Linked DNA regions of Callithrix jacchus. The protein of the gene in region 1 interacts with the protein of each later gene in a pairwise test. Links are inferred from orthologs where the notes say so. Each region holds a gene or a part of one and is shown in the gene's direction. Other genes may lie near its edges.

The links.
Region 2: the proteins of TCL1A (region 1) and LSM3 interact in binary tests that used the Homo sapiens proteins (3 or more experiments, as listed by UniProt). The two-hybrid records come from large-scale screens. The link is inferred for Callithrix jacchus from reciprocal best matches to the Homo sapiens genes TCL1A and LSM3.
Region 3: the proteins of TCL1A (region 1) and CADPS interact in a two-hybrid assay, tested with the Homo sapiens proteins (3 studies listed by BioGRID and IntAct). The two-hybrid records come from large-scale screens. The link is inferred for Callithrix jacchus from reciprocal best matches to the Homo sapiens genes TCL1A and CADPS.
Region 4: the proteins of TCL1A (region 1) and AKT1 interact in binary tests that used the Homo sapiens proteins (3 or more experiments, as listed by UniProt). The link is inferred for Callithrix jacchus from reciprocal best matches to the Homo sapiens genes TCL1A and AKT1.
Region 5: the proteins of TCL1A (region 1) and GOLGA2 interact in binary tests that used the Homo sapiens proteins (3 or more experiments, as listed by UniProt). The two-hybrid records come from large-scale screens. The link is inferred for Callithrix jacchus from reciprocal best matches to the Homo sapiens genes TCL1A and GOLGA2.
Region 6: the proteins of TCL1A (region 1) and TTC33 interact in binary tests that used the Homo sapiens proteins (3 or more experiments, as listed by UniProt). The two-hybrid records come from large-scale screens. The link is inferred for Callithrix jacchus from reciprocal best matches to the Homo sapiens genes TCL1A and TTC33.
Region 7: the proteins of TCL1A (region 1) and PRTFDC1 interact in binary tests that used the Homo sapiens proteins (3 or more experiments, as listed by UniProt). The two-hybrid records come from large-scale screens. The link is inferred for Callithrix jacchus from reciprocal best matches to the Homo sapiens genes TCL1A and PRTFDC1.

Annotation. Positions count from the first base shown.
Region 1 is NC_133509.1:130,524,688-130,529,250, reverse strand, and holds TCL1A (T-cell leukemia/lymphoma protein 1A), read left to right. Parts: upstream 1-1,513; 5' UTR 1,514-1,577; coding exon 1,578-1,721; intron 1,722-3,562; coding exon 3,563-3,715; intron 3,716-4,130; coding exon 4,131-4,178; 3' UTR 4,179-4,293; downstream 4,294-4,563. UniProt on the Homo sapiens protein: Enhances the phosphorylation and activation of AKT1, AKT2 and AKT3. Promotes nuclear translocation of AKT1. Enhances cell proliferation, stabilizes mitochondrial membrane potential and promotes cell survival.
Region 2 is NC_133516.1:71,157,449-71,161,894, forward strand, and holds the start of LSM3 (U6 snRNA-associated Sm-like protein LSm3), read left to right. Parts: upstream 1-1,500; 5' UTR 1,501-1,541; coding exon 1,542-1,562; intron 1,563-4,443; coding exon 4,444-4,446. Other genes in the region: XPC (DNA repair protein complementing XP-C cells), read right to left, coding at 1,148-1,250. UniProt on the Homo sapiens protein: Plays a role in pre-mRNA splicing as component of the U4/U6-U5 tri-snRNP complex that is involved in spliceosome assembly, and as component of the precatalytic spliceosome (spliceosome B complex).
Region 3 is NC_133516.1:44,309,905-44,313,670, reverse strand, and holds part of CADPS (calcium-dependent secretion activator 1), read left to right. Parts: intron 1-1,276; coding exon 1,277-1,378; intron 1,379-2,868; coding exon 2,869-2,932; intron 2,933-3,330; coding exon 3,331-3,454; intron 3,455-3,766.
Region 4 is NC_133509.1:139,660,167-139,664,404, reverse strand, and holds the start of AKT1 (RAC-alpha serine/threonine-protein kinase), read left to right. Parts: upstream 1-1,360; 5' UTR 1,361-1,444; coding exon 1,445-1,490; intron 1,491-4,238. UniProt on the Homo sapiens protein: AKT1 is one of 3 closely related serine/threonine-protein kinases (AKT1, AKT2 and AKT3) called the AKT kinase, and which regulate many processes including metabolism, proliferation, cell survival, growth and angiogenesis.
Region 5 is NC_133502.1:176,863,074-176,866,015, reverse strand, and holds the end of GOLGA2 (golgin subfamily A member 2), read left to right. Parts: intron 1-34; coding exon 35-250; intron 251-337; coding exon 338-440; intron 441-533; coding exon 534-640; intron 641-716; coding exon 717-873; intron 874-961; coding exon 962-1,173; 3' UTR 1,174-2,359; downstream 2,360-2,942. UniProt on the Homo sapiens protein: Peripheral membrane component of the cis-Golgi stack that acts as a membrane skeleton that maintains the structure of the Golgi apparatus, and as a vesicle thether that facilitates vesicle fusion to the Golgi membrane.
Region 6 is NC_133503.1:164,859,703-164,863,291, forward strand, and holds part of TTC33 (tetratricopeptide repeat protein 33), read left to right. Parts: intron 1-679; coding exon 680-1,033; 3' UTR 1,034-3,589.
Region 7 is NC_133508.1:25,235,948-25,239,713, reverse strand, and holds part of PRTFDC1 (phosphoribosyltransferase domain-containing protein 1), read left to right. Parts: intron 1-1,694; coding exon 1,695-1,712; intron 1,713-3,096; coding exon 3,097-3,179; intron 3,180-3,766. UniProt on the Homo sapiens protein: Has low, barely detectable phosphoribosyltransferase activity (in vitro). Binds GMP, IMP and alpha-D-5-phosphoribosyl 1-pyrophosphate (PRPP). Is not expected to contribute to purine metabolism or GMP salvage.

The DNA of each region.
Region 1 (4,563 bases):
ATCTGATTCTTGCTCCATTGTTTGTAGCCTTCTGGGTCCTAGAGCCACTGATGGGGCTGGGTCAGTGGCCACATTGGCTCCTGGGGACCCCTTCCCTGGCCAAAGTCCATCTTAGCAGCACTATTTTAACTGGACTTGTTATTTCTTACCTCAAAGCTGTGGCCTGGGATGAGACCTCCCCAACAGAGCTTGTGACGTTTTCATCTTGCTCTGTAGCTATCTGGGTCTGAAGTCAAGAGCCATTCACAGGAAAATCAGTCTGAAACCAGTAAGTTTGCATATTAAATATTAACAGCACTAAGGGCTACAGTGGAAAAAAGGTTTGCTGGGCTCAAGGACCCTCACTCCACCCCTAACTTCCCTCTGCTTTTCTCTTCTATTTTTGTGTTCCTGGTAAATTCCCTTATATCTCAGCTATCTTAGGCCACCTCAGCCCCTTCTTGGGAATTAGGTTGTCTGGACAGGCAAAGAGGCAGATACCCGGCTGCCAGGTGAATCAGGTGTCCTCATCAGGTCTCTTCATATCCACTTTTGTGACATTTCAAAGAATCACAAATTATTTTATTAATGCCTAGCCAGAGAGATGGGAAAGAGCTAGAAGGAGGCACCGAACTCCATCCCGTGGTGATGTTTGAATCAGGCTAGAGCTGGTTTCACCTGTTTCTCATGCTTACTTTCTTAATTGCCTCAGTGGGAATGCGTTACTGCAAAATAAAGCGAATTGTTTTCCTTAGTGCTTCTAATTTACAGAGAGATGGTTTTGATCATATAAACCAGGTACTTTTCAAATCCACTGATCTTAGGGTGGAAGGAGGGGTTTAAGTATTCATTTTGAACTATGCTTTCACTAGCAAATTCAAAGCCCAAAGGGAAACACCCATGTTTCTCCACCACATTTTGTAATACCTATTAGATGTCCACAGCATCACCGAGCCATAGAAAACGCATGCTTTGTGTATGGAAGACGAAGGGGGAGAGTCAAGAGTTGCACTTTGCCAAGAAATGTACTCTGACGCTTAAAGGCCCAGGCTGGGAGCGATCCAGCGAAGCTTGGAAAGCCCAGGCCTAGCTCAGGCCCGCGTGGGTCTCTTCTGCTCCCAGAAAATGTGGAAGGGGTCCCGGCTCTGGGCATCCTGGTGTCGACTGTGAGTTCCCAGCAGAGGCCCAGACTCCGGGGTCCCGCAGCGAAGGGAGCGGCGGGGCCTCCCAGAAGAAGAAGGGGCTACCGTCACCCCAGGTGCCTCTCTAGCAGCGGAGAACGGCGGTCGGGGTCGCCGCGGGCCTGCTGGGCCCAGGTCTGCGTTCCCAGGCGCTGCCAGCGTTCCAGGGAGCAAGTCAGGCTGCGTGGGACCCTCACTTGCCACCACGACCCCCACGAGCCCCGCCCCATCCTGCCTTACGCCCTGCGCCAAGGTCGTCGTCCCGCCCCAGAGCCCCGCCCCAAGGCCGTCCTCCCGCCCCGCCGCTGGGTGGCGACCGCAAGCTGCCTTGCTATAAAGCGTGGCCCCATCGCCCAGGGACCAGCGAGCTACCTGGAGAGACTCTGGCTCTTGCTTTTTAGAGAATCCGAGGGAGCCATGGCCCAGGAGCAGTTACGCAGGGAGTCAGTCACCGACCACCCGGACCGCCTGTGGATCTGGGAGAAGTTCGTGTATTTGGATGAGAACCAGCGCACCTGGCTGCCCTTAGTCATCAAGGTACAGCCCGCTTTGGAGCGGATGGTGAGGCAGCAGGGGCAGCCCCAGGAGCTTGGGAGGCCCCAGGACGGGCGAGGCCTAGAGGAGCACCCACTTTGGGGCAGGGAGGCTCCCCACAGATGAAGCCACTTTGAGCCGGGTTCTGGGCTTTTGAACAGGAGTTCACCAGGCCGCGAAGAAGGGTGGGAAAACCACAAAGGAATGTCGACCAAAGGATGGGACCTGTGAGTGTGACTATAATGTTGACTACAGCAGGACGTTTCTGGGCTTCGGGGTCCTAATCCTTAAAATGGGTATTTCTAAAGTAAGTGACTCATTCATATGGCCAATCATCGGAATCATCTTAGGCGGGTCCCAGAAATCTGTATTTTATAAAGAACTTTCAACAGCTTAGGGTCATAGCAACCACTGCGCTGGAGTGTGAGGTATTTCCTATTTCCTCTGTGCTTTATTAAGAAGAACAAATTTAGGCCGGGCGCGGTGGCTCACGTCTGTAATCCCAGCACTTTGGGAGGCCGAGGCGGGTGGATCACGAGGTCCAGAGATCGATAGCACCCTGGTCAACATGGTGAAACCTTGTCTCTACTAAAAATACAAAAAAATTAGCTGGGCATGGTGGCACGCGCCTGTAATCCCAGCTACTCAGGAGGCTGAGGCAGGAGAATTGCCTGAACCCAGGAGACGGAGGTTGCGGTGAGCCGGGATCGCGCCATTGCACTCCAGCCTGGGTAACAAGAGTGAAACTCCGTCTCAATTAAAAAAAAAAAAAGAAAAGAACAAATTTAACGAGTCTAAGCACCAGTATTGAATCAGTATTGGCTTTGTTTCATATGTGATACCTTAAAATGCGTCTTTAGGTCATGTTACGTTTTTATTAGAGAACTATAACTCTTTTACAAGTATTTGGATTTACTCAATGAAATAGTCAAAAATATTCAAACTCTTTCCAAACATACACTGCAGAAAGTATACAAATTTAAAAATATATTAGAACATGTATGTAATACAATAGCAAACAAGAGTTATTGAGTGTTGACTGTGTCTCTACAGATGGGAAACTGAAGCACAAAAATATACATGTGCCCAAGGTAGGACTGCTAGTAGGTAACGGGGCTGGAATTCGAGGCTCTTCAACCACCAAAATTTGCACTTCTATTGGCATTTAAATTTTTTTAATATACATTTTTCTTTAAAAATCATGTCAAATGTTTACTTAAGTCAAAATTTGAAAAAATAATTTAAAGATTCAGTGAATTTCTTTTTTACAATGTCTGGTTGAGAAATCTCTTCTTCAACGTGACACCAAAATCACAAACTAGACAGTTTTTCACATAATCATGATAAATGGCACACAAAAAGTAACCCACTAGCAAACTGTGGGGCAGGGTTTGCCTCACACATTTGAAAAAGCCAGTATTCTTTTTCTCTTTTTTTTCTTTCGTCTTTTTTTTTTTTTTCTTTTTTTTGTAGAGACGGGATCTTGCTCTGTCACCCAGGCTAGTCTCAAACTCCTGGCCTCAAGTGATCCTCCTACCTCAGCCTTCCAAAGCACTGGGATTACAAGTGTGAGTCACTGCAACTCGCCAGAAAAAAGTGTGCCTTTCATGGCCCTTTCTAGGTGGCTAGACACGTGTGCATGCTGGTGGTCCTGGCCCAGCCAGAGTCCCTGTGAGGATCATGCATGGCTAAGGAAGTGAGGTTCAGGGGACAGTGATGACCAGCATTTCACACTCAGACCCCTCCCCAGCTGGGTGGGTGGCTGGCAGGAAGGACTCTGGTTTTCTGTGTCTGGAGGAGCCCTGGCAAGCGGATCCTGAAGGTGTGCCCTGTCCTTTTCTTCTTCTCAGAAGGAGGATAAATTACAGGTGTTCTTTCGTCAGGAAGTCACCCTCCTGGGGAAGCCTATGACCCCCACCCAGATAGGCCCAAGCCTGCTGCCTCTCATGTGGCAGCTCTACCCTGACGGACGATACCGATCCTCAGACTCCGGTTTCTGGCGCATAGTGTACCACGTCAAGGCAAGTGTGTTTCTCCCAGGGATCTATGGGGCGATCTTGGGTTTCCCCTCCTCAGTGCCTGGCCTCAGTGGTTTATCTTCCCTCCATCCCAGTGCCAAAAGCATTAAAAAATGGGGGAAATGTACAACTGTGGATTTCTAAAAGACTTTACCACAGAGAAGATAGCTCCTCTGAGGTCTCTAACAGAACCCTCCCTCTATTCCCTGCCAACCCCCAGCCTGGCCGCAGGAAGCCCCCTTTGGTGGGCAGTCACAGGCTGAAGGCTACAGGGAGGAGGGCAGTCTCCAAGAGCCCCTGAAATCCTCACACTCGGGTTCCCACCTGTTATTCCCAGCTAGGGGAAGGCACAGGAGTGAGAAATGGAGGGAGAGAAGGGCTCCGGCTGATCAGTGCCCTCTCTCTCTCTGCCTCTCAGATTGAAGGCCTGGAGGACATGCTTCTCGAGCAGCTGCCAGATGACTGAGTGTGGCATGGTGAGTTCCACTGGGACCTGACCCCTCTTAGTCCACAGTGGCTGTATCAGAAGGAAAGAGCACCCCTTCTCCGTGAGGGCAGTGCTAACCCCTCCCCGACTATTGCCTTCTGAGGGTCCTGGGATGGGAGAGGCTTCCTGGAGGCACTCATGTCTCTCCCTTACCACTGGGATCCAGGAGCTTCGCAGATGCATATGGCCACCTTAGCGCAGCTGCATGCATCTGTACAGGGCTTCACAAGTTGCGGCCAGCACTTTGTCAGTCGCTTTCTTAAATTATATCGACCAAGCCAGATATTAGATGGTGTTATTGCGTTCTGAGGAAGTGGTCTTCTGACCATAAGCCCTCTATCCTGTTCAGAGTTTGCCTTGGCTC
Region 2 (4,446 bases), on another chromosome or scaffold:
CAATAATTGGAGTCCTATGATAGAAAGTATCTGGGAAGAACCACCTTAGGATGTTCGAGGAGTGTCTGACATGAGATTTGAAGAAATCTAAGAAATTAGCCCTGACAAAAGCCATGGGTGGGAGGAGGGGTCACTCTAGGCAGAAGGAACATCAAAGGAAAAGACTCAAGAAATAACTTGGCATATTTGAGGAAGAGAAAGGAGGCCAATAAGGTGGGTATCTGGCAAGGAAACAAGTGGTAGGAGAAACAGGAGAGGTAGCAAGAGCCAAAACATGTAGCATCTTGCAGGCCAGGTTAAGCCAACTGGATTTTAAGCTAAGAGCAATGGGAAGCCAAGGAGAGTTTAAAATAGGAACACGGCATGATTAAAAAAAGAAAAAAAAGATTATTTGGGTTGCTGGATGGAGAACTGGGAGGCCAATAAAGAGGAAACTGCAGTCACTCAACTGAAAGGTGATGGTGGCTTGGACAGGGGCCATGGCCATGGAAATGAAGTGGACAAATTTAAGATACAGTCCGAGGCTGAACTGACTGGATTTGCTGATGGACTGATGTGTGCACATAAGAAAAAGGCAGGCTTTGCTTTATAACAAGTACTGAGACTGGAAAAACGGAGGAAAGGATAGATTTAAAGGGGAAAACCATGAGCTCCGCTTTGCCTGTGACAAACATAAGAAGCCTATCCGATATTCACGTGGGGAAGTCAGGTGGGATCCCACTGTGGAACTCCGGGTGAGACTCCGCTTAAGTGACCATTCGGGAGTCACCACACTGCATCACTCTACGTCCTGGTCCGTCTGTCTGCCTTCCTGGGACCCAAATAACTGCCTTCTCCACTTTCAGCCCTGAGCATCTGCGCTGTATCCTCTGGGCAACCCGGAGCGGAAAAACGCTACGCATGAGCTTGGGTCGGGCGAGGCTCCCGAGGAATCGCTCTGCGTGCGGAGGACAAAGGGACAGGGACAGAGCGGAGGGCCGGACGCGGCCTGCCGAGCTGCTCCCGCGGCCGCCGTCACGTCCCCGCGGCGTGGAAGACGCGCAGTAAACTGCATCCTGTCTCCACGTCTGGCCTCCCACCCCAGCCTCCCGGCCTCCTCCGCCCTGCTGCGGCGTCTCCCGCTAAGCCCGCTGGGCCTCGCTCTCACCCTCCTCCTCCTCCTCACGCCGGGCCTTGCTCTTGCCCTTGGACTTCTGGCTGCGCGGTTGGCGTCCCCGCGGCTCCCCGCCGGCCGCGCGCTTCCGAGCCATGTTGTTCTTCGGGGCAAAATCCACTTCGTGAGTGACGCACCTGGCCGCTGTGCACCAGAGCGCGGGCTCCGCCCACAGGCGGGCGCGTCTAGCCCTGTCCCTTAGTTGGAGGCCTAGCCACGCCCCCGAAGGAAGCTCCGGCGATACCCGTGGCCACCAAAAACCACAGGAAGCAGGAAGGAGAAAAACAGATTTCTCTCTACTTCCGGTGTATTATATCCTCCTGTTTCCGGAGATCCGCGTTGCTCTTGTGTTCTCGCGAGAAGCGGGAAAGAGCGCAGGGTTTGAAACATGGCGGACGACGTAGACCAGGTGAGTGTACTTTAAGGGGGTCGCTTCGAGCAGCTTCGCGTACTAGGGCTGGTTTTCCCAAACTTAGGAAAAATGGCCAGTCGTGTCTCCTCCTTCCAGGTCACCATGGTCCAATCCGCCCCGTCCTTTCCGTAACCGCCCCCTGCTCCGAATTTTGCTGCAGGCCCTGAGATCTTTTCCGGTTAGAAGCCCACCTGACTACTATTCATCACACTCTTCAATTCATTTTTTTAAATCTGTAAATTATTATCCTTGCCTGCCTCACGGAGCTGTTAGGATTCCAATAGAAAGCCTGATGATGAAGTTAGAAGTTCATATCATTACTGAGCGCAACCATTATTTATTCATTTAGCATATTTAGTGAAATTCAGCTTTGTATGGTTAGACACTATTCTAAGGGCCAGGGACACTGACATCGACATAGAAGTGATCCCTGCCATTACTTGGAGCTTATATTCGTGAGGAGAACAGATAAAAGTAAATATAAATATGTAGGAGACATAGGAACTGTGATGTGATGTGAAGGAAACAAGGAACTAGTTTGCAGAATAACAGATGGCCCTAGAAGCTTTTTCACCTTGTCTTTCTCTTCCTCAAATATCTTTGGAGATCAAGCCACAAATTCTTAAGCTTTCTACTGAAATCTCACCTCCTCAGAGAGGACTTCTCCTGCGCCAGTAGCACACGCTTTACTCTTCTTACCCTGCTTCATTTTTCTTCAGAGCGCATTATTATTTCGTATTAAATATATGCATCTGTTTTTAATGTATAACCCTTCCCACTAGAATTTAAGTGCCATAAGAGCAGGTTTTTTGTTTTGTTCTTTCTTCTGTCCTTAGGGTTTAGAACAGTGCTGGAAACACTCAACAAATATTTACTTAATGAGGCCTCTTTGAAAAGTCAATATTTAAAGCTACAGTGGGCATCGTAGACAGAGGCTTAGGTAGCAGTAGGGTTCTGTCGTGTGCATATTTTGACAGTATTTAATTATTTATTTGTATGCCTCTCCACATTACAATGAGCTCCTTGAGAGTGGAGATTGTGACTTCTATATCGTTATAATCTAACAGTTGGTTATCTGATCCTTTAACAAACACCTGTTGAACTAGGGAAGTAGGGATCAGTCGAGTCAGGGTTTTGTTTTTTCTCTCATCTGACCTTTTGAAGCTTTAGAGCCTGTTGCATTCAGTCACCTTCCTCCACTGGCCTCATGTACTTAATGAAGATCTACTTGAATAGTCTTTCTCTTAATGGCTGCAACCATTCGACCCCAAGTCATCCTAGCCCTGACCTCTAAAACCGACGTTTCCAGCAGTTCTTTAATAATACTAATAGGAACCATTTCTTTTCTTTTTCCTTTTTTTTTTTTTTGGACAGAATCTCACTCTGTCATCCAGGCTGGAGTGCAGTGGCACAATAGATCTCAGCTCACAGCAACTTCCACCTCCTCAAGCGATTCTCCTATCTCAGCCTCCCGAGTAGTTGGGACTACAGGCGCGTGCCACCATGCCTGGCTAATTTTTCTGGTTTTTTTTTTTTTTTTTTTTTTTTTTTGAGACGGAGTTTCGCTCTTGTTACCCAGGCTGGAGTGCAATGGCGCGATCTCAGCTCACCGCAACCTCCGCCTCCTGGGATCAGGCAATTCTCCTGCCTCAGCCTCCCGAGTAGCTGGGAATACAGGCACGCGCCACCATGCCTGTAAGTTTTTGTATTTTTAGTAGAGACGGGGTTTCACCATGTTGACCAGAATGGTCTCAATCTCTTGACCTCGTGATCCACCCGCCTCGGCCTCCCAAAGTGCTGGGATTACAGGCGTGAGCCACCGCTCCCGGCCAATTTTTCTGTTTTTAGTAGAGATGGGGTTTCGCCATGTTGGCCAGGCTGGTCTCAACTCCTGACCTCAGGTGATCCGCCTGTCTCAGCCTCCCAAAGTACTGGGATTCAGGCGTGAGCCACCATGCCCAGCCAGTAGGAACCGTTTATTACTATTTTCTGTTTACCTGGCACTGTTGTAAATACATTAACTACTTTAAACTTCTCAAGAACCCAGAAGGAAGGTTGTGGCCTCCTCAATTACAAATGAAGAATCAGAATTACAGATGGCATGATTTTTAATCTTAGTTCATTAGAGTCAGGTCACAGCCAGGAGTTGAACCCAGACTGCCTGACTCCAAAACCAGTGCTTTCTTTTTTCAAGACAGAGTCTCACTCTGTTGCCAAAGCTGGAGTGCAGTAGCACGATCTTGGCTCACTGCAACCTCCGACTCCTAGGCTCAAGCCATCCTCCCCCCTCAGCCTCTGAATAGCTGGGACCACAGGCATGTGCCACTGTGCCTGGCTAAGCCAGTGCTTTCAACCAGCGTTTTATACTGTCTACTAAATATATTCATCTTACTGGCCAGTTGGCAGCCTAAACTCAACCTGTGCTAAATTCATAATCTTCCCATTAACCTACACCTCTACTTAGCATTCTGACTAGTGTATGGTAGACATTGAGTGAGTGTTTTTCCAACGATTACATAATATTTGAGATAAAGCTAAAGTCCCTGAGAGCCCATACCCTGAAATTGGGTCAGGCAGTTTGATTTTGAGGGAACAAAGAATAGTCATGATTATTTTGCTGTGTAACTCCTTTTTGTGTATGTGTGTTTTAACCTACATTTATGTAGCACATATTATATGAAAGGCACTGTTCTAAGCCGTCATAGATATCACTTAAGCCTCACAACAACAGTATTAGGTAGACACTGTTATCTCCATTTTATAGCTTAGGAGACTGAAGCAGAGAAAGGTTAACTTGCTCGTGGTCACACAGCTTAACAGTGATTTAAGCAGGTCTCTATCTCTAGTACTGCCTTCCTTAACTTGTTTGTTTTATCAGCAA
Region 3 (3,766 bases), on another chromosome or scaffold:
GGGACTAAACGGGATTTTACTGTTTGGGGGTTATTTCTTATAAAGTGGGAGAGAGGAAATTTTCTCATTTTTCAAATAGGGTACTTTTATTATCAAAAAAGAAGGAAAGCTGACTGATTAACCCCTCCCAGGAGGTACATTGCTGTCATTTGCCAAGTCTTTTGTACAGTCAGACTAGTCTGGTATAAAGGATTTTCCCAACTTACGCTGGATCCTTGAGAAGGCCTATAAATAAGACCATTTGTTTGGTCTCAAGATGACTTGCATTTGCAAACTGAAGAATGTTCCAATAGAAGTTTGATGGTGACACACCAATCTGCAAACTGGCTCAGCCAGTAGTCAAAACAAGTCACTATGAGATCTGGGAAGCTGAAGACTTTGAATGGGTCAGATTATCCTGCATCTAGTTTGAAACAGATAAATTGGAGCTATAAATATATAGCCTCCCTTTAGATTTTCAACTTGAATGATCCATAACAAATAGGGGATATATGTACACACCTAAGGCGACACAGAACCATGAGAATATGATGATCAAACTGAAATCACTTATTTAAACTGGAGTTCTTTTTATTACAATGAGTAATAGTTTACTAAAAATTGGAAAACATGGTTTGTTCTTCAATGAATACAAGATCACTTAAATAAATCCAAACATCTGTAGTTATAAGCAGGAAATCGAGCAATGTAAGATGTTTAACACTGGGAATGACAAACACTTACAAGGCATCTGATTTTCATAGGAATTTGTGTAAATAATTCAGGGATCCCAAAGCCAAGTGCCTATAAAAGAGATAGGTAATACAATTTAGGAATGTGGACCAGGTGAGTGCTTGCCCCAGATAAGGAAGAAGCTGTTAGCCAGCAATTAATAATGCCAGCTGTTTCATATTTTCAAGAAAAAAAAACAGAAATCAGAGTTGTATTCTAAAACTTCCCTGATTTTAAAAAAATGTTGCCAAGTAGTTCAAATTTCTTAAGAAGCTGTGAGCCAAACAGAACAAATTCAGGGGCTGTACTTAAGCAGCAAGCCACCAGTTTGCACATTTTACCATGTCACAAAAAGTGAGCTACAGCTCTGCATGTCTCCAAAATGATAACCCAAACACAACCCAGCTCTTTTGGAGGCCAGCCCTGAATAGCTGGGCTCCTCCTGAGGTCACATCTATCATTGTAGTTGTTCCTTCTAAAATAGACAGTTTCCTCCTGCTAGAGATTTGATTTGATGGTGTCAGCATATGAAGTTCCCGTCATTTCATGACATGTCTTCTTTCAGGCCTGACGGAATCGGAACTGTGACTGTTGAAGAAAAGGAGCGTTTCGAAGAAATCAAAGAGAGACTCCGAGTTCTGCTGGAAAATCAGATTACACATTTTAGGTAAGGATCTGGGGCTTGAGGGCTTTGATTAGGAGATGAGAGTGGAAAAAGATAGAGGGCTTAATGTTCCAAAACTGTAAATCTACCAGAGGATAAGTTGGATATTTGGAAATAACTGAGTAGAAGAAGCAAACCAATCAGCCTTGCTTCCGCAATAACCAGGAAAAGTTTGCATTCTTAAGTTTATGTTATTTCCACTTAAAGAACAAATCCTGCCATGTTCGAGCTGACCCTGGTCATCAATCTATTATAGAAAGTTGGATTTGAAGTTTCTTCAAAGTTCCTAAGTTAAAAAACAAAAATTCTTGCAAATCAGAACATAGTGAACAAGAAAGGAAGGCAGTGGTACTCCTAGGAGAGTCTTCGTTTTCTCCCCTACCTCAGAAACACGACTAGCTGGCTGCACAGGGAAAGAACGAACCTTGGATCCACCTGGGTGGATTGAAACTTCCCTGCATACTCGAAAGAGCCAGCAGATTCTGCACTTGAGCCTTACACCACATTGCCCACTTCTCCCTTGGAGCAAATTAGGTGTTTTTAATGCTGTCCTAGTGGTTCTGGACCAGAGATCCTGAAATAGAAACTGAAAAATAATACTAGCATTTCTAATGGTCCCTATTGATTAAATACTTCCTATATGCCAGATACACAACTGGAGGCTGGAGAAGTGTTAGCCCATGTCAGAACAGCTTTGTAAAGTAGTTATCATAATCCCCATTTAAACCAGGAATAAAACGAGACTAAGAGAGGTTAAGGAACTTGCCCAAAGCAAGCCAGCCAGCAAGTGGAAGTGGAATGCTTACATAAGATAGTCTGTGTTTAAGTATCCATGCTAGTCTCTCTGTCCCATGTGCAGTGTCCTGAAGGGCCAGTGACAACCTGAAACCAGTCACTGGAACTCATAGTGGTATCTGACATAGTTTTTTCTGTGCCATCAAAATCCTCCTGGATAAATCTTTATTGATCTTACATTATATGTAAAGTGCATTACCGGTAGCAGAAGATCCATAACAGTAGCAAACCGTAAGCAGGGAAGGACAGCTAGCAGAATCAATAATTTGCTCTAAATCCACTTTTCTATTCCATATATCAATCTTTTGGGGACTTATGTAAATGTATTTGAATTTGAGCCAATTCTAACTAATACTTTTTTAACGCCAGTCTCAATAATAACATATAAGGTCACATTTGAGCTAACGAATAGTTCTCCTTCACAATAGAAATCTAAACAGAGCCTTATGTCACCACTCTGAATATTCTTTTCTGCTACAGACATTTGCAGAGTCCCTCTTTAGTCATTATTCACACATACACATATATACATTATATACACACATATATGGTGTGAATTCAGATTAACATAACACAACGTGACAAAATAAAAAGCATTTTCCATTCCTCAGAGAGAGTTGCTATAGGAATCAAATTGCAGCATATTTCATGCTAAAATGTAATAATTTAGGCAACCTGAAGAATTTTGTCTTTTTTAGGTATTGCTTTCCATTTGGTCGACCTGAAGGTGCTTTGAAAGCTACTCTCTCACTCTTGGAAAGGGTAAGAATAAAAGTAAAAGATAGATCATGTATATATAAAGAGACATAAACATAATTGTAATGAAATGTTTTGGTTGAATGACCTAGTTGTAATTTTTATAGGATTTGTTTACCATTCAACAAATATCAGAATAGAAGGGAGGAAACTGCCAAAACTCATGATATTCTATCTTCAAACTCCCAAATAGGATATACTGAAGATATGTTCCTAGCCCTTCCCTGATTCATGGACAGCCTTTGCCAATGCTTTGCAGTTCTGGTGCTTTCTCTTTAAGCATGGCTCTCAATCTGTATTAAGTCACAAAGAACTGATTTTAAACTTGCACACTTCTAAGAAATGTGGATGAGTGACACGTTTGCTTGAACCTTCTTAATAATCCTTCTTTTTTCTACTCGAAGGTTTTGATGAAAGATATTGTTACCCCAGTGCCACAAGAGGAGGTAAAAACAGTCATCCGTAAATGTCTGGAACAGGCTGCGTTAGTCAACTATTCTCGGCTCTCAGAGTATGCCAAAATCGAAGGTAAGGCTCCCTTCTGCCCCCAGTTTTGAACTTAAATTGTGATATGCCTCCCTGGGGAAGTCTTTCTTTTTTCTGAAGGGCACCTGAAAACAGTGGTCTATCTGAGTATATTAAGCTGAAACCTGAAAGTACTTGAAATGTGGAAGCCTCCTTGGCTGTGGCCAAGTAAATGAATTAAAAGACATTACAGGGGCTCAGAAAACAGCCTTTGTAAGGGAACAATATTGAAAATAAGATGTTATCAGATAACTAAGTTCCTTCTGAGAGTCTGTGTTGGTCCCAAATATCGGCTCTGTGGCTGATGTTTTCCTA
Region 4 (4,238 bases), about 9.1 Mb from region 1:
GGCCTGCTTTTCCGTCCTGCTGAGCACTTGGGCACTTCCCTCTTCGGGCAAGGTGTGGTTTTCCCTGTCTTGGCATTACACAGAAAGCAGTGGGCCTTCCCGCCATTCTAAATTTCGCTTGAGACCCTCAGTGCAAAGCAACCCTCTGGGTTTCCAGCCCGTGCCTCAGGAGGCCAGAAAGGTGGCCTGGCGGCAGGGAGAGAGGTCGCCAGGGGTCTCTGCCTGGCCTAGAGGTCCCAGAGAGGACCCTCCTCCCCTCAGGAAGGTCTCTCTGGAAGGGTAGCAGAGGACTGGTCCCAGGAAGAGCATGCCACATGCTGTTTCTGGGGATGCCTGGAGTTGGTGATATGGGAACTGGGTTTTGAGGGATGCCTAGGAGTTCATCCATCAGAGGGGAAATGAGGAAGCCGTACAGGATCAATGGCCTAAGTGTGCTCAGGTGAGGGCTGGCTGGTGGGCACTTCAGGGTGGGCACTGCTGGAGGGCACTGTCCAGTGCTCCTCCACTTACTTGCTGCCTCCCAACTGCTGTAATTACGGGTCTGTAAGCACCCTGGACTGGGCGCTCCTCACTGACAGACTTGTCTGAACCTCTCTGTCTTCAGCACCCGGCAGTGGGCCTGGCAAAACGCCTGGTACACGTTGGTCAAATGAATGAACCAGATTCAGACCGACAGGGGCGCTGTGGTTTAGGAGGGGCCTGGGGTTTCTCCCAGGAGGATTTTGGGATCTCCCCGGAGGGCTCTGGGCTCCCGTTTGCGCCTGCAGCCTGCATCCTGGTCCTGCCTTCATCATGCCTGAGTTTCTTTGCTTTCCTAGTCTGGGGAGCAGGGAGGAGCCCTGTGCTCTGTCCCAGGATCCTTGGGGAGGAACACCACAGACAGGGAGAGCAAATGGGGCCATCTGTCACCAGGGGCTTAGGGAAGGCCGAGCCAGCCTGGGCCAAGATGGTGAAAGGGGCTGCCTGGAGGAGGCAGCCTGTCAGCTGGTGCAGCATATTAGGGAGGCTGGGAAGGCCTTTTGGGGAAAGAGGTGATTTGTCTAAAGGCAGGGGGAGGTGGGAAAGGGGGGTGAGCAAGGCAGCAGCTCTCAGGGCCTGGCTGTTGGGGTGGCCACAGCGGCAGGGGCCGCCGGCTCTGAGCCAGGAAACTGTTCAATTACTTGGCAGCCTGAGTGTTTTGGGGAGAGGTAAGGCAGGCCGGCACATGGGGGTCAGGGAGCCTAAAGGGATGGCAGCTCCCCTGGGAAGGCAGGTGTGGTGGAGCTCAGGCGCATGCGGTGGGTCTCGGGCTCATTCGGGGCGAGGAGCTGTCCTTGTCCAGTCACGGCCTCATACACAGCTCCCTTTACTTCTCCCAGAGGCTGTGGTCAGGTCAGCTGGGCTCGGGGATCAGCGGCCTGAGAGGAGTGCGTGAGCGTAGAGGGAGCCTCGGGCACCGGGCACCATGAGCGACGTGGCTATTGTGAAGGAGGGTTGGCTGCACAAACGAGGTCAGTGCCGGGGCTGGGCCTGGGGAGGGAGGGACGGGGGTGGCCGCGGGGTCTGAGTGCCTGTACTCAGGCCTGTTGGCTGGGACAGGCTGCCCCCCCCCCGGGGCTCCTGGCTGGCCTAGGGTGAGTATCTGGGGTCCCATGTCTTCCCATAGCTTGGAGGGCCTGGCCTAGGGAGGCTGGGAGGATGAGGCCCCGTGCAGGGCCAGCCATCACAGTGGTTTCCTGGTGCAGGCCCTTGCAGGCAGGGGAGCTGCTGCCAGCCTCTCTTTCCTGGAAGGCGGTGAGGACGCTGGGTTGTTCCAGTGCCTGGCACGCTGGCGGCCCGGGGCACTGCCCAAGGGCTCCTGAGGGCAGGGCAGGGCAGGGCTGCTTGGCTTGGCCTGGTGCCTGCTTCAGGCCTGAGTTTTGGGGGTGGGGGGGAATCCGTACCACATGGGCACAGGGTATGTTTGCCTTGGAGCTGCAGAGCTGCGTGAGCCCAGGCCCCCCCAGCCCCTGAGTCCTCCTCCTCATTTGGCCCTGCAGCCCATGGAGAGGGTGCTGGCCGAGGGGGCCTGGCCAGAAACTGGTGGGATGGGAGCTGGGGCCACAGCCTCACCCCTTCCAACCCTGTGCAGGCCCTTCTGCCTTGCCCACCGTCCATGCTCAGTGGGGTGCAGAGGAGGCTGGATGGCTGTCAGACTCCTCTGTCCCGCTGGGGCAGGTTCCTGTTCAGGTCCAGGTCCTTTGGACCTGGGGCAGTTACCTTCTGCTTCTTTTTCCAGACCTGTTCCCTCCTAAGTTCTAGTGATCTCATGCCAGCAGCCCACCCCTCTTTACATACACCCTCTAGCAGATGGATTTCACATGTGCTAGTGGGGAGACCCCAGACACAGCTGGAGCAGACAGGGAAGACTGGCAAAAGTGGGTGTCACAAGATGGGGCATTGTGGGATGTATAGGAGCTCACTGCAGAACAGGCCTGAGAAGCCACAGGAGCCTGGGAGTGGGGTGAAGGAGTGACCAAGATGAGATGCCAGGGGTTTGGGGGTGTGGTCAGCTGTGGGTTTGGAGTGTTCGAGTGGGCAGCTACCAGGATGGCACGCGGGACCTGGAGACAGAGACAAGGAGGCTGCAGAGCCTGCAGTCCTTGGGGAGCTTCTGACGTGGCTTGCTGCCCAGCATACCGTCTCCATCCCCCGCCCTTGCTGTCCCTGCTTGTTCCCCAGGAGTCCTGTTCCCTGTGCCTGGAGGTACTCTGTTGCCTTGCCTCACAGCCCTCTGGTGTCGGGGACCCCCTGCTCCTATCCTGTGCCTCTGTGTCCCGCACGCCCTGCTGCTTGGAGCTGCCGCTTCCTCATCCTCGGCAAATGTTTGTTTGTTGATGGACTGTTGGATTCAGGGCTGACCCAGGAGATGCCAGGGCCTCGACTGCCCAGGGGCCCAGGCCCAGTTACTGGGGCACCCATCAGCCAGCTGGGCCCAGGCCGGGGTACTTGTCTGAGGCCTGGGTGAGTTTCAGTTTTCTGCTCAGGTCATACCTTCGGGAGGGGCCTGGCGGAGACGGGACATCAGGCCCAGTGGGGCATCCAGAGAGCTGAGTTTGACCCCTGTTTGCCACTCCACCACAGTGTCCCTTTCCAAGGGCAAGTTCATATAGCGCCTCAGGCCTCGGTTTCCCCATCTACACCAGGGTGCAGTGGTGGGAGGGAGACCTTGTGGTGTGGAGAATGGCTTGTGGGGTCCCTGAGTTGGGGTCCAGCCAGCGTCTGCAGCCTCTGGGCTCTGTCGCCTGGCCCCCAGCCTCAGGCCAGGAGAGAGGGTCCTGGACCTCTCCCCGCAGCTCTTCCTCCCCCATCCCCGGTATAGTGGGCACTGAGGATGCGAGGTAGCGTGGATGTAACATATGCCCTTGGCAGGCACGGCCTCTCTTGTTGCCGAGAGCAGGCGGGCTTCCACCTGCAAGGCCGGCCCTGCTTGCCGAGGAAAGCCTGTCCTCCAGGGCCTGCCTCGTTTTCCCACTCCCTGTACCCCGGGTCCCCTGTGTGTTGCAAATGTGCTCTGCCATCCTGCTGGCAGGGCCAGCGTACCCACAACACAGGTTGGAGGTGCCAGCTGTCTCCCTGTCCCTAGCAGGGCTGTGCTGGGCGGCCCCCACCCCTGCTTCAGGGCTCAGGCCTGGCTGGGGGCGGGAAGCAGGGAGAGTTGCAGTGACTATCCTCCGGGCCCAGCCACAGCCCCTCGCAGGTGCCCTTTGCTGCTCCTGGACTTTCCGCGCAGGGTAGGGCGCTGTCCCGGAGTGGGCCCTCGCCCGTTTCCTTTGCCAGGACTCCCCGCGGCCATGGCCTGGGGCACGTTGCTTCTCCGCTGAACTCCTAGGCGACAGTTCCGCCACGGCTGCTTGGGCTGGCCACGCATGACGTGATGGTGCCTTCGGGGGTGCTGTGGCCGCTAAGATGAGTGGGGGTGGCTGTGCCCTGTGTGTGAGTGGCTGGGTGGCCGTGTCTGCAGAGCCCAGGCGCAGCTCCTTCTCCTGCCTCTTGGGAGGCAGGTGTCGTCTCTGGAGAGTGGCCCAGGCTGCTTTCTGTTGTTCTGAGGTGTGTGCTCTGGGTCAGAGGAGCTTCAGGGGCAGAAGGGACCTGGCATGAGGACATGGGCGTTCCAGCTCCAGGCCTATGTGGACCTGTGGACCCAGGCGAGGCCTCTGGGCCTGACATCTAACAGGGAGGTGGTTCCTGGAGGGTGAGCTCAGGCTGCTGAGGGCACA
Region 5 (2,942 bases), on another chromosome or scaffold:
TCCCCATCCAAGTGTGCACCTCTCTTGCCTGCAGGTGGCATTTTTCAACTCGGCTGTAGCCAGTGCCGAGGAGGAGCAGGCAAAGCTACGTGGGCAGCTGAAGGAGCAAAGGGTGCGCTGCCGGCACCTGGCTCACCTGCTGGCCTCCGCCCAGGAGCCTGAGGCGGCAGCCCCACCCCCAGGGACTGGGAGCGATTCTGTGTGTGGGGAGACCCACCGAGCCCTACAGGAGGCCATGGAGAAGCTACAGGTGAATGAGTCTCTCCTGGCAAGGGCCAAGAAGGGTGGGGGTGGGGCAGGTGGCTGACGAGATGTGACCCCATTATTTTGGCTCCAGAGCCGATTTATGGAGCTCATGCAGGAGAAGGCAGACCTGAAGGAGAGGGTAGAGGAACTGGAACATCGCTGTATCCAGCTGTCTGGAGAGACAGACACCATTGGTGAGTGGGAGGCCAGGACACAGCAGGAGAAGGTGCTGTACAACAATCAGAGGGAACCCAGCATCTGAGCCCTGTTCTCCTGTTCTCCTGCAGGAGAGTACATCGCACTATACCAGAGCCAGAGGGCAGTGCTGAAGGAGCGGCACCGGGAGAAGGAGGAGTATATCAGCAGGCTGGCCCAGGACAAGGAGGAGATGAAGGTACGGTGTGGAACATCTCTGTGGGGTGGGCACAGGCACAGGCACGGGCACGGCAGCTGAACACCCCTCCCTCCAGGTGAAGCTGCTGGAGCTGCAGGAGCTGGTGTTACGGCTTGTGAACGACCGAAATGAGTGGCATAGCAGATTCCTGGCAGCTGCCCAACACCCTGCAGATGAGCCCAATCCAGGGGCCCCAGCCCCCCAGGAGCTTGGGTCTGCCAACCAGCAGGGTGGTGAGTAAGAGCCCTCGGGAGGTGTGGGCAGGCAGGAGCAAGGGAGGGCTCACATGGTGCTCAGAGCCCTGCCTCTCTCTCTCCAAAGATCTTTGTGAGGTGAGCCTCGCCGGCAGCGAGCCTGCCCAAGGAGAGACTGGGGAGGGTTCTCCTCGAGACAACCCCACTGCACAGCAGATAATGCAGCTGCTTCGTGAGATGCAGAACCCCCGGGAGCGCCCAGGCTTGGGCAGCAACCCCTGCATTCCTTTTTTTTACCGGGCTGATGAGAACGATGAGGTGAAGATCACCATCATTTAAAAGCTGGCCAGTATGAGCAAAGCCTGAAGAAGTGGGGCTAGAGGCCCTGCCCCCACCATGTCCCTACCATCCCTTCCCAGTCACCCCTTTACCCTTACAGTAGCAAGCATATGACCCCTGTCTAACGGGGGTAGACAGGTGCAGATGAGGTGAAGGTCACTGTCATCTAAAAGCAGGCCTCTAAATTTTAAAAAATTAAGTGATGGGACTAACAGTTATGGGATAAAAAAGTTATGGTATAAAAGTTACAAAAAATGGCCAGGCATGGTGGCTCACGCCTGTAATCCCAGCACTTTGGGAGGCCAAGGCGGTAGATCACCTGAGGTTAGGAGTTGAAGGCCAGCCTGGCCAACATGGTGAAACCCCGCCTTTACTAAAAATACAAAAATGAGTCTGTTGTGGTGGCGTGTGCCTGTAATCCCAGCTACTGGGGAGGCTGAGGCAGGAGAATCGCTTGAACCCAGGAGGTGGAGATCGTGCCACTGCACTCCAGCCTAGGTGACAGAGCCAGACTCCCATCTCAGAAAAAAAAAAAAAGTTACGGGATTAAAATGTCGGGATAAAATAAAAATAGGCCACTGTCAGCAAAGCCTGGAGAAATAGGGCTGGAGGCTCTGACCCCATCATGTCTCTGCCCTTTACTCTTACAGTAGCAAAATAAGACCCTTGTATAATGGGGGGAGAAAACATGCAGACCCTTTGCCACCTTGGCCCGGGCTGAATCCTTAAATTTCTGGATGATGAATATTGTTATTTAAAAGCCAGACGATTATAGAATTGGCTTGTTTGGAGGAGGCCTAATGGCCTCCTTATTCTCACCAAAGCAATTTTTCCCTCAGGGGGGTTCCCATCTTCTTACACTGAGAGGCAGCTGAGGCAGGACAGTGGGGCTAACCGTAGAACAGGTGAGGGCATGGGCTGCTGGGGTGGCCCGGCTTCCCCAGTGTATATATTGTATCTGTGTAACATTTTGTATATTCTGGGGGTAGTGCTGCCCCCTGTATCATACCTAGCAGATGTTGGAGCTGGCACATGGGGAGGAGGTTCTAATAATTATTTGGGGCTGGGAAACTTATTTATTGATAGCATAGGACAGAGAAGGAGGCGGGGATGGGGTCGTGGCGCCCTGGTGATGCGACTCCTGTTTATTTTGCTTTTTATTTCGGAATAAATGGATTTAGCCATACTGCTTGGCCTGCCATGTTCCTGTTTCCCTCACTGGGTCCTGGAGTTTGTGCCACTGAACAGGAAGCCCCAGAGTGTCTGAGCATGTGCAGCTGGGCTGTTGGGACCTTCCAGGCCTGTAACCTGTCTGAACTATGCTGCCTGGTGACACGTGGGGGATTCCATGGGGACTGCTATGACACCTACAAGGGATAGTCCAGCCCTTATGGCCAACAGGCTCAGATGCCTGATCTAGCGGTGGCCGAGAAGGCAGGGTGCCAGCACCCAAGGGCACTGACTTCCAACCAGCCCAGGTGTCTTCTGTTCCATCTCCCTGCCTCCCTTGTCTGACTGCACCTGGTGGCCTGTTGTGACTGTCCCTCCTGAATGCAGGCTGCCCTGCAGGCTCCCTCCAGGCTGAGTTCATGGCCCTGCCCCCTAGTGGCCAGAGCCAGCTTCACAGGATGAGAGCCAGCTAAGCTCCAGGGGCTTTCCAGGAGGAGTGTCTCTTGGAGAGGATGTGGTCTTTTCACTGCCCCCAACAGCACCCTAGACATGGCTTAGCCCTTCCCCTCCCCTGAGCTCCAGAGAGAACACAACCAGCA
Region 6 (3,589 bases), on another chromosome or scaffold:
TTATCCCTATAGTATTGGGATGGACAAGTGATCATTTCTAGACAAAAGGTAGATGATTGAAGGTTTTAAAAATTTCACTTGAGGGCCTGGGAATGCTGACTCATGTCTGTAATCTCAGCACTTTGGGAGGATGAGGCAGAAGGATTGCTTGAGGCCAGGAGTTTGGACTAACCTGGGTAACATAACAAGACCCTATATTTACAAAAAAAAAATTTTGGCCACCACACCTGGCCCAATACATGTAAATCTTTAGTGCCTAAAATGTAGTAAACATTCAATAAATGCTAACATTGTTAGGATCTAAACTGTTAACTTCAAAGATATCCGCTCCTGGTGCCGTTGTGATTGTGGGTTAGCCCAGGAAATCCCCAAATGTACGTGTTTACTGGTCTGCAGAAGCTGACAATATATTTGCTTTATCCTGAGCCCTATTATGAGAACTCCCATTTTAAGGACTTTTAGTCCATCGGCGTATTATCAGTCACTTTCTTTCACACTTCTGTAATTTTTTTTCCTAATGTTTAGGGCAATACCTTAGCTTTCATCTTTTGTGTTCTAGTATATTAAAATAATACATTAGGATGTATATGTGTACAGTATATACATACACACACAGAGGATTGTATTAAACATACTAATGATTAAAAACAAAACAGAAAACTCTGACCTTATTTTCTAGGCAATTCGAAGTTTTCAAGTAGCCCTTCATATCTATCCAATGAACCCTGAAATATGGAAGGAAGACCTCTCTTGGGCAAGAACGCTCCAGGAGCAGCAGAAGGTAGCGCAGAGGATTAAAAAAAGTGAAGCACCAGCTGAAGTAACACACTTTTTACCAAAGTCAATTCCAGACTATGATTTTGAAAGTGATGAGATTGTTGCTGTTTGTGCAGCTATTGCTGAGAAAGAGAAGACAGTTTCAGCAAATAAAACAATGGTCATTGTGTCTGCCTCTGGGGCTGTAGAGACTGTAACTGAAAAGGAAGATGGTGCTACACCACCAGATGGCTCTGTTTTTATCAAAGCCCGATGAAGCAGTATGCATAGGATTATTTGAATCTGTCTTTTTGATTGCCACTTGAAGTTTTGACATAGAGACACATACTCTGGCGATAGATAGCAGAACTCCTGGTTGTAAAATAAGTTTTTCAGATGAGGCATATAAAAACTAAAAAGGCAGGATTCTTGTATAGTGTTTGCAGTATGCTTTAATAAGTTATGATTTATATTTCTCAAGGTTAAAATTCTGAGTAAAATGTTTTTGTGATTATTAAACTTAGTTTAATCTGAATATGTAAATGAATACATTTCAAAGACAACTTGAAAAGTGTATTCTTGAATAGTGAATAACTTGGCCAATGATACTGAAATGCTGTTTCAACTTTTATTTTATGATAGTGGGATTTCCCTCCCTCAGAGAAATATACTGCTCTTACTATTTACGCTCTTTTCCTTGCTTCATTGGAGTAACTCTGTCAGAAAGCTTGAGTATTTTTGACATTCATTTTGATTCAAAGTTGTCATTTGGTTATATGTGGAATCTTTGAAAGTTTGGCTGAAAATGCACGCAAATATGTACATTCTGAACATTTTCTGAAGTTTCTCTTAATCCTGATTTGTGTTTTTGTTTTGACTTTGAAGTATATCAATGATAGTTGTCTCCTTCAGTACTTGTTAGAAGTGTGAAGTATTGATAAATATGAGAATGATGGTTTTATTTTTTAATTGTTACAGTAAGTAATCCTTACCACAAATGAGTCATTTTTAAAATACGTATTTTTAAATGAATGGCTTTTACAGATAGGTTAATACAACTGTACTGCTATATTATCTCAGTCAAAACCAACACTTTATTTTCTTTATTTTACAAAGCTTTAAAAACCCTGGAAACAACTTATTTCTTGCTTGTATGTTTCCATCTGGTGATTGGGAATTACTTTTCTAGGTAACTTTTTTTGAAACTACTCAGTGACATAAAAAATAATTATAATTTAAAATAGCCAATTATATCTTTCTAAAAATAAAAAATTAGAGTCGTTATTAGCATGCCAGTGAGTAAATAAGCACAAAATACATAGAAAATGTAATGTGATTTATAGTACAGTCTCATGAGTATGAGAAACCTATATGAAAGAAGTATTTTATTGAAAGACCACAATCACATTCACAAGCCAATACTGTCATTGCTAATCTGAACTATTATTTTTATACTATATATTGTAGTACAATAATATAGACCTGTTGGGTTCTGTTACTTCTGACACTCAGGAAGATATTATTGGTGTAAAATTAATTTTATCTTTGTTAGGAATGAAAGTAGCCCACTTTGTGTTAAACATCTTACTACTACTGGAGCATGTAAGTAATGATCTACATTTTTTATGAAGATAGTTTTTAAAACTTTTGTTTTATTGGAATGCATATCTCTTTTCTGGGTTGGGAGAAATTAGCACTTGCCTTGAAAATAATATTCTTTCCCTAAGTTATATCATCAGAAAGTTAGCTCTGGTTAGAGAGGTTAGTTTCAGAGCGCTCAAAAAAATACATTAATTATGTATTTTTTGAGAATAAAGAACATTCTTGAAAAGTAAATATGTTTCTAGAGAAGTGAGTACTCAACATTTGGTATATTGTTTTGAGTAATGGATGTTTGTTTACTGTGTAATTTGTGAATAAATATTTTCTTCTGCATTTTGAAGATTTTTTCCTATTATTTTGTATTGTTAGCTTTTGAAAAATTAGATTGATCTCCTTAATATCTTTCTTATATGAACACAATATATTTAAAGTACCTTGCATGGTGCCCTGCACATGAAGTAATACTAGCTATTTCAGTAAATGTCTATGAAGAACTTGAATTAGTTTGGTTATATTTAGTCTCAATTTCCTCTGATTTTAAAAAAAGGAGAACTTTTTTTGTAATCCTTTTCTTATCTGAAAGTAACAAGTCACTGCTTCCAGTATTATAGGAGAGACAGTGGGATTTTTTTTTTTTTTTGAGACGGAGTTTCGCGCTTGTTACCCAGGCTGGAGTGCAATGGCACGATCTCGGCTCACGGCAACCTCCGCCTCTTGGGTTCAGGCAATTCTCCTGCCTCAGCCTCCTGAGTAGCTGGGATTACAGGCATGCGCCACCATGCCCAGCTAACTTTTTGTATATTTTTTAGTAGAGACGGGGTTTCACCATGTTGACCAGGATGGTCTCAATCTCTTGACCTTGTGATCCACCCGCCTCAGCCTCCCAAAGTGCTGGGATTACAGGCTTGAGCACACGGTGGTGCCTGGTCGGGATTTTTTTCTTGAAAGGGTCTGTAGCTTAAGCTCAAAAGAGGCAAGACTCAGGATGGAATGCATGTGGCCATTAGGCCCTATTAAAGAACTTAGTATTTCCTCTGTATTGGCATAGTAAGCCAAGTTAGTGTCTTTCTTATCCAGATGTAAGACTGTAAGATATAAAATAGTTTAGACATAAGATAGAGGAGAAAAAGGGACAGTGAGTTATGGAGAAGGAAGGCAGCTAATTTCTGCAGGCCCCCCAAAATGCTTATTTTAGCTCATACTCTTCTATGCATGAAGAGAAAAATGCGCC
Region 7 (3,766 bases), on another chromosome or scaffold:
AATGAAAGATCATCTAAAGAAAGAAAAACACCATTACATTGAAAGAATAGTCTCACCATTTAGTAAATTGGGATGCCATATTAACAGTCATATTTTAATTTGGTGGGGCAGCATTGACAGGTCACTCCTAATCCAATTACTCGGTCAGTTTAAACTCATTAATAAGTTTAATTAGTTATTATTGCTTTATTCAACAACTATTTATTAAGCATCTATATGCAGGCATTATGCTAGTTTCTGGCAATGTCGTAGGAATCAAGGTAAACATGCTCCCCCACCTCGTGGAGATTAGAATCTAGTGGGGAAGACAGAGATCAAACAAGAAATTCCAATGCAATACAATCAGCGTGTATCAGTCCAGCCTCACAATGTAAAGAAATACCTGAGACTGGGTAATTTCTAAAGAAAAAGATGTAATGGGCTCACAGTTCTGCAGATGTATAGGAAGCGTGATATCGACATCTGTCCTGCTTCTGGGGAGGCTTCAGGAAACTTAAAATTATGGCAGAAGGCAGCTGGGTGTGGAGGCTCTTGCTTGTAATCCCAGCACTTTGGGAGGCTGAGGTGGGCAGATCACTTGAGGTCAGGGGTTCAAGACCAGCCTGGCCAACTTGATAAAACCCCATCTCCACTAAAAATACAAAAATTAGCCAGGCGTGGTGGTGGATACCCATAATCCCAGCTACTGGGGAGGCTGAGGTGGGAGAATCGCTTGAACTCAGGAAGCGGATGTTACAGTGAGCCGAGATTGCTCTCTACTGCACTCCAGCCTGGATGACAGAGTGGTACCCTGTCTCAAAAACAAAACAAAAAAAATCATGGCAAAGCAAAGGGAGAGCAGCACTTCACAGGTCTGGAGACAGATATGGAGCAAGAGAAAGAGGGGTGGTGTCACACACCTTTAAACAGCCAAATTTCAGGGCAACTCACTATCAGGACAACACCCAGGGGCATGGTGCTAAACCATTCAAGAGACCTGCCCACGTGATCCGGTCACCTCCCACCAGAGGCCCCACCTCTAGCACTGAGGATTACATTTCAACGTGAGGTTTGGGCAGGGACACAGATCCTAACCATATCACAGTGTTCTTAGGGGAGAAGTAGAGGAATGCTTTGAGAGCTTATTGCAAGGAATCTAACCCTCCCACTAAAAATACAGACCAGGCACCTCGAAGCCTTTTCTCTGGCCTACCCTCTTCATCTAGGTTGGCAATCCAAGAGCAAATCCTGAGTCCCCAGGGATTTTGGTGGCTGCGCAAGAGTAAGGCTGTCACAGCCAAACCCATGATGCGTTTACCAAGCACAGTCTCTCTCCATTAGTGAAGCAGTCCATGTTGCTTTGTTTTCCTGGTAAACTCTTAACAAGCTTTGCCTCCCAAGGGAATGCTGGGGGTGGGGGCCCTTGGAGGAATTATTGAGATGGGATGACTTTATGGATAGCTCGTCAGACAGGTCTAAGATAAGCTTGCTTCTAACCTGAATATAGATACTAATGTTGTACCAACTAATTCCAGGGAACCTGTTCAAATGAATCTGGAAAACCTAGATCACCTTTAGTCCTTTGAATTAGATGGATGGGGAAGGACCATTTAAGCAAATTGTGAAATTCTAACTTTAAGCAAAAAAAAAATATGTGTATGTATCCTGAGTCAGATTGGCATCACATTCTAAAACATGGGTTTTGTTTATTTCAGAATGTTCTCATTGTTGAGGTAAGCTGGCATTTCCTTTTCCACACTTGGAGGTTGAAGGAATCTAACAGCGAGTAAACTGTAAGCCTTGTTATCAAATTGACCAAGGATTTCTTGAGTTCCCACTGGGTGCACACTCTCCAAGTTTAATGAATAGGGGCCAACTAGCATCCCGGGTTTCAAATAATGTAGAATAAAAGCTTTGCAACAATGCTCGTGGAGGAATTCATCCTTTTTTGTATCCAGTTCCACATATCTCTGTGTTGATTTTTACACCTCTTTGTGAATCAGACAAGTTTAAAGAAGAAGAAACTAGCTCACCAAACCAAGTTCATTTCACAGTAAAACCAAGGTTAAAACTCCATTTACCCTGAATTCAGTGTTTTTGCTAAGGACGTCTAATGATTTTGAGAATTCTCTAATACTTTCAGCATCAAAATCATAAACACAATCAATTAAAATGGCAAGCTATGGGGAAAACTATAGTTTTTTGTGTGTGTTTTTTTTTTCTTTTGTCTTTCTATTTAAAAAGAGAGACAGAAAAGACAACTTGGGAACCCTGTGGCAGTAGTGGACCAATACAGCAAATGGCTACATTTCCTTCAGGAGCGCACTTGTCTCATCAGACTGCAAAAAATTCAGGGGAACTGTTTTCAAGCTTTTGTTACACAATTGCCTGTGTGTGCCATGTGTATCTGCAATTCTTGCTCCATATAACCCACAGAGTAGACCCTCTCACCAAATGAATTGCCCAGCCCTGGCTACATTCAGACCTGTTGTTTTGATAATCAGCTCGCGACAGCTGATTCCTGTCCTCAGGACAATAAATCGCCGCTGCCCATTCTCCTCTAATTGTGCAGCAGCTCATCAGCAGAGATGAGCCTGAGCTCGCTGCAGCCGTGGACCCTCAGAATTCACAGGCTGTCAGCAGCTGCTGTCCAGACACCTCTCACTTCCCAGCCATAGAATCCCCCATTGAGTGGAGGAGGACAAGGGGGAGGCATTTATCCATTCAGTGTATTCAGATGTACATATCCATGAAAATTCATGCGCCTTGTATTGTGTTACACAACCTCAGGGACAAATTTAGTCCCTGAATGCGCATATACAAGTCCAAATATACTCAACGAGGAGTCCCTCATGCTGTCCAAAGGCTAAATTTGGCCCTACCACACAGCTAAAGGATTCAAGGAGGAAAGAATCTCCAGTAGATTCCCCAAACTCAACTTCCAGAAAGAAGTGCTTGTCTAAATAAAACATAACCAACTCCTCCTACTACTTTGACTCCAAATTGGATGGCATTTTTAATTACAATGCATTATTAATCAGGAGTATCTCCCTGGATGAAAAGTCTGTGATGCTGCTCAAATGCATTTTGTTGAATGTATCTGTCCTTTCTACAAAGGATGTTGTTGGAACTGGGAGGACCATGAACGCACTCCTCAGCAGTATAGAGAAATACAAACCCAACATGATTAAGGTAGCCAGGTGAGTCGGATATTCAGAGCATGGTGATTTCTGCTTTTCCAAGCAAGTTCAGAAGGGATGCTAACAGAGGACGCTCTAAGAGTATAATGTATTCCAAACTAATGCCCTTTTCCCCTGGGGTATTACAGTTTGACCACACTGAAAAACAGCTCTTGACTGCTAGCCTGAGAGAAGAAAGGGAAGAAGACGTGCTTTGCCGTGTTTCTGGGTGCCTTCATTAGCTGTTTCCAGGAGCAGCTAAATGAGCCTCCCTGCAATTGCTTTGCCCGCTTCTTTTCCTTTTTTTTTTTTTTTTTTTTTTTGAGACAGAGTCTCGCTCTGTCACCCAGGCTGGAGTGCAGTGGCACAATCTTGGCTCGTTGCAATGTCTGCCCGCTGGGTTCAAGCAATTCTCCTGCCTCAGCTTCCCAAGTAGCAGAGACTACAGGCGCCCACCACCATGTCCAGCTGATTTTTTATATTTTTAGCAGAGATGGGGGTTTCACCGTGTTGGCCAGGCTGGTCTTGAACTCCTGACCTCAAGTTATCTGCCCACCTCAGCCTCTCAAAGTGCTGGGATTACAGGCATGAGCCACCACGTCTGGCCT